Linked DNA regions of Drosophila melanogaster. The protein of the gene in region 2 purifies or fractionates together with the protein of the main gene of each other region. This does not show direct contact. Each region holds a gene or a part of one and is shown on either strand. Other genes may lie near its edges.

The links. Proteins that work in one complex are often made in the same cells at the same time.
Region 1: the proteins of Tbp (region 2) and Taf9 purify together in Drosophila melanogaster (affinity purification with western blotting; 8 studies listed by BioGRID, with this or other methods). This does not show direct contact.

The regions. Positions count from the first base shown.
Region 1 is NC_004354.4:17,840,591-17,844,796, reverse strand, and holds Taf9 (TBP-associated factor 9), read right to left. Parts: upstream 2,637-4,206; 5' UTR 2,539-2,636; coding exon 2,388-2,538; intron 2,324-2,387; coding exon 1,638-2,323; 3' UTR 1,449-1,637; downstream 1-1,448. Other genes in the region: CG8142 (uncharacterized protein), read left to right, coding at 178-284, 361-1,228, 1,291-1,377; CG6398 (uncharacterized protein), read right to left, coding at 3,698-3,807, 3,870-4,035, 4,102-4,206. UniProt on the Drosophila melanogaster protein: TFIID is a multimeric protein complex that plays a central role in mediating promoter responses to various activators and repressors.
Region 2 is NT_033778.4:21,684,533-21,690,138, reverse strand, and holds Tbp (TATA binding protein), read left to right. Parts: upstream 1-2,496; 5' UTR 2,497-2,686; coding exon 2,687-3,469; intron 3,470-3,533; coding exon 3,534-3,812; 3' UTR 3,813-3,947; downstream 3,948-5,606. Other genes in the region: CG10307 (uncharacterized protein), read right to left, coding at 1-212, 271-855, 917-1,096; BaraC (baramicin C), read left to right, coding at 1,629-1,680, 1,749-2,035; eIF3k (eukaryotic translation initiation factor 3 subunit k), read right to left, coding at 4,029-4,626, 4,693-4,763; stum (stumble), read right to left, coding at 5,326-5,438, 5,503-5,606. UniProt on the Drosophila melanogaster protein: General transcription factor that functions at the core of the DNA-binding multiprotein factor TFIID.

The DNA.
Region 1 (4,206 bases), on a different chromosome or scaffold from region 2:
TACAAACTTTTGTAATACACAGAAGTTTTTACAGGTGTACAATTGCTTCGCTCTAGCTGGCAGCTCTGCTACCGGCAACCTTTCAACTCGCGACAACTTGTTATCGATAAACGCGCGCTTAACTTGCATTTGCGTCCTGCTTTATTTGTAATTTTGTCAAGAAACAAGGAAACCGGTATGCAAGCCTTTTTGAAAACGGGAAAATCAACGGCGGGATCCGGAGACAAGAGCCAGGGTACTCCGGCGGCGCGTCGCAAGCCACCGGCACCGTGGGTGGAGAAATAGTGAGTTGACGATGTCGCCAACTTGGAGCACATGCTAATTTAAGTGATTTCTATCCTTTTCGAATGACGAAAACAGCCGGCCACGCAATGTGGATGATGTGGTGGAGCAGTCCGAAGTGGTGGCCGTGCTGCGCAAGTGCGTTGAAGGCGGGGACCTGCCCAACATGCTGCTCTACGGACCGCCCGGCACGGGCAAGACCAGCACGATCCTGGCTGCCAGCCGACAGATCTTCGGCGACATGTTCAAGGACCGCATCCTCGAGCTGAACGCCTCCGACGAGCGTGGCATCAATGTGGTGCGCACCAAGATCAAAAACTTCTCGCAGCTGTCGGCCAGCAGTGTGCGTCCGGACGGTAAGCCGTGTCCGCCCTTCAAGATCATCATTCTGGACGAGGCCGATTCGATGACCCATGCCGCACAGTCTGCGCTGCGTCGCACCATGGAGAAGGAGAGCCGGAGCACCCGTTTTTGCCTGATCTGCAACTATGTGTCCCGAATTATCGTGCCAATCACGTCGCGTTGCTCTAAATTTCGCTTCAAGGCGCTGGGCGAAGACAAGGTGATCGATCGTTTGAAGTACATTTGCGAGATGGAGGGAGTAAAGATAGAGGACGATGCCTATAAATCCATTGTCAAAATTTCCGGCGGAGATCTGCGACGCGCTATCACCACCTTGCAGTCCTGCTACCGCCTTAAAGGGCCCGAGCACATCATCAACACTGCTGATCTGTTCGAGATGTCGGGCGTTATACCGGAGTACTATCTGGAGGATTACCTGGAGGTCTGTCGCTCTGGGAACTACGAGCGCCTGGAGCAGTTCGTGCGGGAGATTGGCTTCTCCGCCTACAGCGTTGGCCAAATGATGGAACAGTTCGTCGAGTTCATTGTCCATCATCCGGGGCTGAATGATCCGCAAAAGGCCACGATCTGCGATAAGCTGGGCGTACGTACTGACTGCATAGATAGATATGATTCCTCTTGTTTATTGCTGCCTTTATCCCACAGGAATGCTGCTTTCGACTGCAGGACGGCGGCTCCGAGTATCTGCAGATCATGGACCTTGGCTGCTGCATCATCTTAGCTTTAAAGTAATCTCATCCCACTCAGCACATTCATTACATGTACTTTATCCGCGACTGGAGTCTAAAATAAATGTTATATTTAATATGAAAATCTGGTAGTTGTATTTGTGTATAAAACGTAGATTTCATAATGATTAACGGGCGAATCTATACTAAGGTTTTTGGGACTTCACATTCGAGTTGAAATTTAGACCCCCAGTTCGCTCAACCAAATGCAAGTGCTTTGGTCTGGTTTAAGAATATTAATTTAAGGTAAATGATGTCGTTTCGCTAGTTGGTCACAAACTCAAACTCCTCCTCCTCACGTTCCCGCTTGACGGCCACTCCAACGCCAGATGATCCTCCTCCTCCTCCTCCTCCGCTGGCACTTCCTGCTCCCGAACCGGATGCGCCAGCGATGCTGCCCACGGCCGCCGCATCGCTGTCCACCTCCATCTTGAGATCTCCGCCGGCGCCGGTGCTCTCGCTCTTAACCTCCTGACCACCGCCGCCCCCAGATCCGCCGGAGCTGCCCACCGTTTTCGTTGTCGTAGTGGTGGTAAACTTGATGACGGGCTTGGGAATGGTCACCACCTGCTGCTTGGCCACCACGGAGTGTGGCCTCTTCGGACCATTGGCGCTGGAGACGGGCTTAACGACGGTCTTCAGTGGACGGCCCTCCACCGCCGACTTGGTCATTTTCTTGGGCTGATTAGTGGCCCGCAGTTTGTAGTTGACGCCGGTGAGACAGTAGCGGTCGGGCGGCAGTCGGAGACCGCAGTGCGGCTTAATGGGTGGCAGGGGCATGCTGTTGCGCACGTCGGCCACCTTGGCTAGAACGTGGCGCTCCAACGGCCCGGTGAAGCTCTTGTCCAGCGTAACCTCGGTGGCCAGACGCACGTCGTCCAAGTCGATGGTCTTCTTGCGCGCATGGTTGGCGTACACCTTGGCGTCGTCCAGAATGCAGGTTACATAGCCTGCAATGCAAGACAGCATTTAGGAAAATGATGTGGGAAAAGCAAGGCATTAATCGCCGCTTACGGAAGGTGAACTCCAGCAGTTGGTTGACCACGCGCGGCTCGTACTCCTGGACATTCAGCTCCTTCAGGATGGACATGATCACCTGCGCGTCCTTCGGCACGTGCTTGATTTGGGCACTGATCTTGGCCTTATCGGACTTCTCTGCGCTCATACTTCTATAGTTATTATGTTTACGTCGGCTTTGCTGCAAGAAGATTGTTTATTCCATTGAAATTGTGCACGTACATATATACGGGTCTATCGGAAATCGGTGAGCTTATGCGATACTATCGATGCAGACGTCTAGTGTGGAAAACGCCGCTGGACTGCAGGGTGGCAACTCTGGCTCTGGCCATTTAAAAAAAACGGCTAAATTAGAAATCGATTTTTAAATGTAGGAACAAATCTAATGAAGCTTATCCAAAATATTAAACAATAAGCATATTTCTACCAGATCACATAACACCACATTGGCATAATAGGTGGACCAATAGGTGGAATATTAACTATCAGAAACAACAATTTCAAAATATTTCGGAATTAACGAAACGAGAACAAATGGCAGAGTGAAATGAAGACTACAATTCTGTTTAGTTTTAATAAAGTCAAAAATTTCTCTCACACGACTTGATAAGCTTATTAACAAAACTTGAATACCCCAGTTGTGGAAAAACAAAAACGAAGTCCCGCCAAAAGGAGCTAAAAACTGTTAAATTAACGTAAGAAACTTTTATTCATTAAACGTACAGCTCTACATACAATATGCACTATACTTGGAAGACAATTGAAGCTTGTCGCGCATTATTACATTCATATACATTGTACAATGAAACTTTTAGCTTAGATACATACACATATTTCTTTATTATTATTTTAGATACGCTACATGTACGTTACGTGCTACAATAAATTAACTCTTTATTGTTCCGTCTTTAAATCGCCATCTCGCCGTGGTCAACATATAAAACCATCCATCCATTCGTCTCTCTTAGATATTTGCAAAATAACGCGCAAACAATTCGCGCACCAAAAACTTGGACGCAACTTTGACTCAAGTCCCACGATCAGTTATACATACAAGCATATATATATATACTATATAGCTCTATATAGACTACAAACTAGATTCTTGTCGAAAAAAAAAATTGATGCTTTAAGTAATATTTTCATTGTCAGAATGTATGCGTTTTAAGATTTCGTTAGCGCTTGCTCTATTTTGATTACTGGGGAGGGCTACCAGGTTCCCTCCTGGTCATGATTTGTGATCTCTATGTCTCTATAACTCAATTGCAGCTGCTGGCTGAAGCTGGCTGGCCCCTTCGGGTGTGCCTCTAGTAGTTGTAGGGTCCGTACTGCGAGCCATGATAGTAAGGTCCTGGGTAGATCTGCGGCTGGGCGTAGTTGGCATAAGGGGGATAGGGTGGCTGCTTCTGCGAGTAAACTGGAAATGGAAACCGAAAATTAGTCATTAGTTATATTAGAGGGTCAGCACGATGGACATACCTGGCATCAGGTACTGCAGGTTCAGCTGCTCCTCCTTCTCCCGCTCGTTGCGCAGGCAAACGGCCGCGCCGGAGAGCAGAATGGACGCCAGGAGACAGGTTCCGATTCCTGCCCAGGCCACGATGTACGACCAGTCGTAGGCGATCTTCGTGTTGTCGCGCAGGACCTAATAAATCAAGATATTCATCATTAGTTAATCCACATACATGCCCAATGCAGCTGGTGTACATACCGTGTTCCACTGCTGGAAGTAATCCTCGCCCACGACCTTCTCCTTCTCAAAGAACTCGACGGTGTGCCAGAGTCCCATGGCGCCGGCGGCCAGGAGACAGGTGAC
Region 2 (5,606 bases):
TCCTCGATGTTGTTCTCCAGCGCACTCTCGTCCGTTGTGTCCAGTTCGCTGGTCCGCACGCTGTTCGCCCAGTCGGAGGAGTCTAGATCCTGTCCTGCTCCTCGCGCCTGATCCTCCTGCTGTTCCTGGGCGTTGAGGCTAGCTCGACTGGCGAGACCATCGCAAATATTGGCGGGATCTGACGGCAGCTCCACATAAAGGTTCGTCTGGCGCTGTAAAATTCAGAGAAATTCAACAAAAAGAAACACAAAGGTTAATTTGGAGCTTCACCAAAGCCATTAGCTGTAGATCGCGGTGCAGGCTGATGGGATTCTTGGACAGGTTGAGCATGTGAAGAGTCCGCAACTCCTCCAGTTGTGACCGCGTGGGCATCTCGTCAATACAATTTTCGTTGAGAAAAGCAAACCGCAGCTTCTGCATGGCCATCAGCATCCTGGGCAGCCGTCGCAATCGATTCCCCTTAAGATTCAGATGCACCAAATTTCCCAGCAACGCCATGGTCAGTGGCACTTCGCTGAGTTCGCAGCCCTCGGCTGTTAGCCAACGCAGGGAGGACAGAGCGCCTATGGCATCGGGCAACTTCTTCAAGGGATTTCCCCGTACGCCCAGCGTCTCGAGGTGTTCACAGTTACGAATTTCGTTGGGCAGCTCCAGGAGCCCAGTATTATTGCACCAGAACGTCTCCAGCTGAGTGAGGTATCCCAGTTCGGGTGGCAAACTACTAATGTTATTGCAGCTGATGTTGAGAAACTTCAGCCGGACCAAACGACAGATGCAGAGCGGGAATTCGTCCAGTTTATTGTAGTCCAACGTGAGGACCTGAAGTCGCATCAAACTACCAATGGAGGATGGAATCTGTGAGTCAAGGGATTGTGAGTCTATTATTTCATTGGCTATCTTGTGCACCAGGTGCCACCTTTGTTAGCTTGTTTTGGTTGAGGAACAGCTTCATCAGCGTCTCGCACTTCTCTATGATGCCCGGAACGTCGGAGATTTGGTAGTGGGACAGATTCAGGGAGAATGCCTTTTTGTATATGGCATCCTCGCAATTGGCCAGCACGTAGTTGTTGCGGAAAAACTGACAAACCTTCTCCATGTCGCCCTTATTAAGTGTTTACTTCTGCAGCACTTGAATTTGGTTGTCTTGGGTTCCAAACTATTTCACACTCTTTGGAAAACCTACTCTGTTTTTGGCGCTAGTAGCTTAGTTTTCAGGCCTTGTCTTTTGTAGTTTCGAACTGTCGCCCGATTTGCGCGTTTTTTCGTTTGTTTTGAGTGCATGTTATATAACGATTCTCGGAGTCTATATATGCACAAAAATCTCTATTTGCTGCACTCTCTTTTGCCTGCCTTCTCTTCCCAAGCTGATGAACTAAAATTAAAAATTTCATTTCCTGGGTAAAGGCATGCGCAAAATGCTAGATATTGGCAATAGGGTAGTTCTATTTTAAAATTGGTACATTGTCGCTTGTAATGTTTGTCGCACAAGGAAAGCTCAACATTTGACATTACCCATTCTCAGCTGCTAATTGGCAAAAAGCTCGTCTTTCTATCGGTTTATATAAATAGATTGTAAATTACCGAGCCGCTCTCAGTTGAAATTGAGCTCAGTGACTGGAAACTGCATCATGAGATCGTGTACTTTACTTGTTTTCATAGTGAGCACGCTGTTGTTTGCCGGTAAGTCAAGTGTGGGAACCACTAGAACCGCCACATCCATTCAACACTCTCTCTCTATTTTTCTCCAGTGACAAATGCGCAGCAGAATTATGATGGAAGAAATGGTCCCCATGAGTTCGGCACACCTGGAAACGGCATTTACATACGGGGTCAGAACGAAGGACCCTACACAGTGCCCGAAATGGGAGGAACGTTCCAAAACTCACCCTCAAGTGGGCAGCATTCCTACACCGATGAGCACGGAAATACTTACACCCATTCCTCAACGGCAACTGTCACAAGTTTGGCCTATTCAACCTTCGGTTTCAGCATGGGCGGCGTTCTCATTTTTCTAATTAGTTTAATAACCATTTAATTGCACTTTCCAAGTGCAAAAGTTCCAATTAATTAATTTTTAACACATCGTTTTTCAGTTCACGCCCACGAAAATCTATTGCTGAAACTGCATAGATGAGAATAACCATTTTCCTTCTAAGTATTATGCACTATTATTTATTCGCTATTTCTTTTGTTCACCTTATACACAAATTATTTAGCTATTAAACAGAAGTACAACAAAGTATACTTGATTCTTTTGAAAAGTGCGCCATTTTAGTTATCGATTGGCAACAACGTAAGGGAGAGATTTAACGTATAAGAAATATTTGAAACGTTGAAGTGTGATTTTTAACTAAACATTAAAATACAATCAAAGATAATTATTGTTATAATTATTTTCATACATATTTTCAATGAAATACTTAAATGCTAAGAACGTAACGATAAACGTAAGACCCAGCCAGCTATCGATAGTTGCGGCAAAATGCAGCGCTGACTTTGCCATTCTCACAAAACGAGCCACAGGTACAACGACGAACGCGGTTGCATTACATTATTATTATTATTACTATTAAATTAATTTCCCGCTCTGTGGGTATGCAATTAAAACCCAAAGTTGAGCCCGTTCAGCAATCTTGAATTGAGTCACTGAAAAATTCACCGGAGTCCACAATAAACCATCTGTAAGATGGACCAAATGCTAAGCCCCAACTTCTCGATTCCGAGCATCGGAACGCCGCTCCACCAGATGGAAGCGGACCAGCAGATAGTGGCCAATCCTGTGTACCATCCTCCGGCTGTATCGCAGCCGGATTCGTTGATGCCGGCACCCGGTTCCAGTTCCGTGCAGCACCAGCAGCAGCAACAGCAGTCGGACGCCAGTGGGGGATCAGGTCTCTTTGGCCACGAACCATCGCTCCCGCTGGCGCACAAACAAATGCAGAGTTACCAGCCATCGGCCTCCTATCAGCAGCAGCAGCAGCAACAGCAGCTCCAGAGTCAGGCGCCCGGCGGCGGTGGGAGCACTCCGCAGTCCATGATGCAGCCGCAGACGCCGCAGAGCATGATGGCCCACATGATGCCCATGAGTGAGCGGAGTGTGGGCGGTTCGGGGGCCGGAGGTGGCGGAGATGCCCTGAGCAACATCCACCAGACGATGGGCCCCTCCACGCCGATGACACCAGCCACACCAGGTTCCGCTGATCCCGGTATTGTGCCACAACTTCAGAACATCGTGTCCACGGTTAATCTGTGCTGCAAACTGGACCTCAAGAAAATAGCATTGCATGCGAGAAACGCCGAGTACAATCCTAAGCGATTTGCGGCTGTGATTATGCGAATCCGAGAGCCCCGGACCACCGCCCTTATTTTCAGCTCCGGCAAGATGGTGTGCACAGGGGCAAAGAGTGAGGACGACTCCAGACTGGCAGCGAGAAAGTATGCGCGCATCATCCAAAAGCTCGGTTTCCCTGTAAGACAAGACTTTACATTTCCTTTCTCTTCCCGGCGAATCTCTAACGCTTTCTCTCCCGCAGGCAAAGTTCCTCGACTTTAAGATTCAAAACATGGTCGGCTCCTGCGATGTCAAGTTCCCCATACGCTTGGAAGGCCTGGTGCTGACCCATTGCAACTTCAGCAGCTACGAGCCTGAGCTATTTCCCGGCTTAATCTATCGTATGGTGCGACCTCGAATCGTGCTCCTCATCTTCGTGTCCGGAAAGGTGGTGCTCACTGGAGCAAAGGTGCGGCAGGAGATCTACGATGCCTTCGACAAGATATTCCCCATTTTAAAGAAGTTCAAGAAGCAGTCATAAATAGGATAGCGCTTTATTAGTTCTGTACGTGTACGTTTTAAGGTCGGTAGTTCTGGAAGTCTGATCATATGAGTGGGAGCAGCCTGGCGAGCAGCTCCGATCGAGAATAAACCACAAAGTAATTTAGCTGTACGGACAGGCTTTTATTATTATTTTTTTTCCGTTAATTACTATTCGTAAAAATTTAGACAAGGACTATGAACGCGAATGAGGTTCCTACAGGCACTGGGCCATCAGGGCGCCCACGTTGTCGAACTCGATCTTCTCCGTAATGTTCTTCGTCTTGATTTTGTCGTCCTGCATGGCCACGATGACGAGTCCCTGGCCCTGGTTCTTCCAGCCATTGCGCTTGATCCAGCTCTCCAGCGTCGAGTCCTCGATGCCGCCGAGCAGCTCCTTAAGCAGGTCCTTGCGAATTGTCTGGAATGTGGTGCCCACCACATGCGAGACGAACTTGCGAATTGAATCGTGGAAGCCGGTGATGTGGCGGAACATGTTGCGGTTCACCTCGGCCCGCTGCCAGAAGAGGGTGAAGTCCGCCCGCTCCAGTATGTCGGCGAGGTCGATGATTGTCTGCACATTCTCGTCCTTCATCTGCTGGGGCAGCAGCAGGCACTTGGCCATCACGAAATCCGTGTGCGGCAGGCTGGTCAGTGACTTCAGCAGAATGGTGTACGTGATGTCGAAGTTCAGCATGTGCGGGTTGAACTGGTACAGTTTCAGCACGGCCAGGTTGGCCTCCAGGTCGTAGGTGTTGTTCTTAGCCTGATCCTGCACATAGGACTCCAGTGTTTTCAGATGATCTGGGTTGTAGCTGCGGCAAAAGCGAGGTTATGTTTTTACTAAGCATCATAACTGAGTGAATTTGTGCAGTTCTTACCGCTCGATGCAGCCCAGCATCTCCTGGATGGTCTGGCTCTGGCCGTTTTCCATTTTCACGAGGTGCGACATTTTCTACGGCTAATTTGTATGAAATTCGCAAGTTGACGTCGTGTTTTTTATTTTAATAAAGAAAGATTCGGTGTGACCGCAGTGCTGAACTCGCATTTGCCGATGCAAACAAACGGAATGCGGTCACATTGTGTGGGAATCTGCAAGGGGTATTCCTGAATTCCATTTCAAAATTCCCGTTACGCGAAGAAAATATTCGAATTTACAAACTAGTTTATTTTAAAGTTCGAATAACTCGCATTTCACTTTTGCTGGGTATTTAACCACTTTACTTACCTTACGTCTTGGGTTGCTCAAACATTCTGAAATCTTATAGAATCTCAAAAATTGTTTTTCTGCGCAACAAATAAAGTCCAATAAATAAAACACATATTTAAGTGGAAGTTTAATGATTTTAATACATATACACGTATGTATCTCATGTTTAAGGGAAGTTCCGTTCCGTTTTGCTTAACCTGGAAGTTCATGTGGAAGTGCATGTCTTGTGTAATCTACATGTTTTGTACAAAAGTATGTACACAATGGTATAAAAAGCAACTTAGTTGTAACCGGGATCGGAGGACTATGTCTTGTCCGCCTCGGCGACGCCGTTTTTCCCAGCCTCCGCCAGTTGCGCCTGGCGTTGCTCCTCCTCCAGCTCCAAACGCTCCACCTTTTTGATTTTGCTCAATTTCTCTGTAAGTGCAACATGAATGGGTAATGAGTGGCTGCAATTTAAAATGAGACACTTTTTCCTTACTTGCACATCTAAGCATTATGGTGCCCCACCAAATGGACCAGCCCCATCCCACGAAGCAGAAGAGCACGCAGAAGAACTGCGATACGGCCACGATAATGTTGATG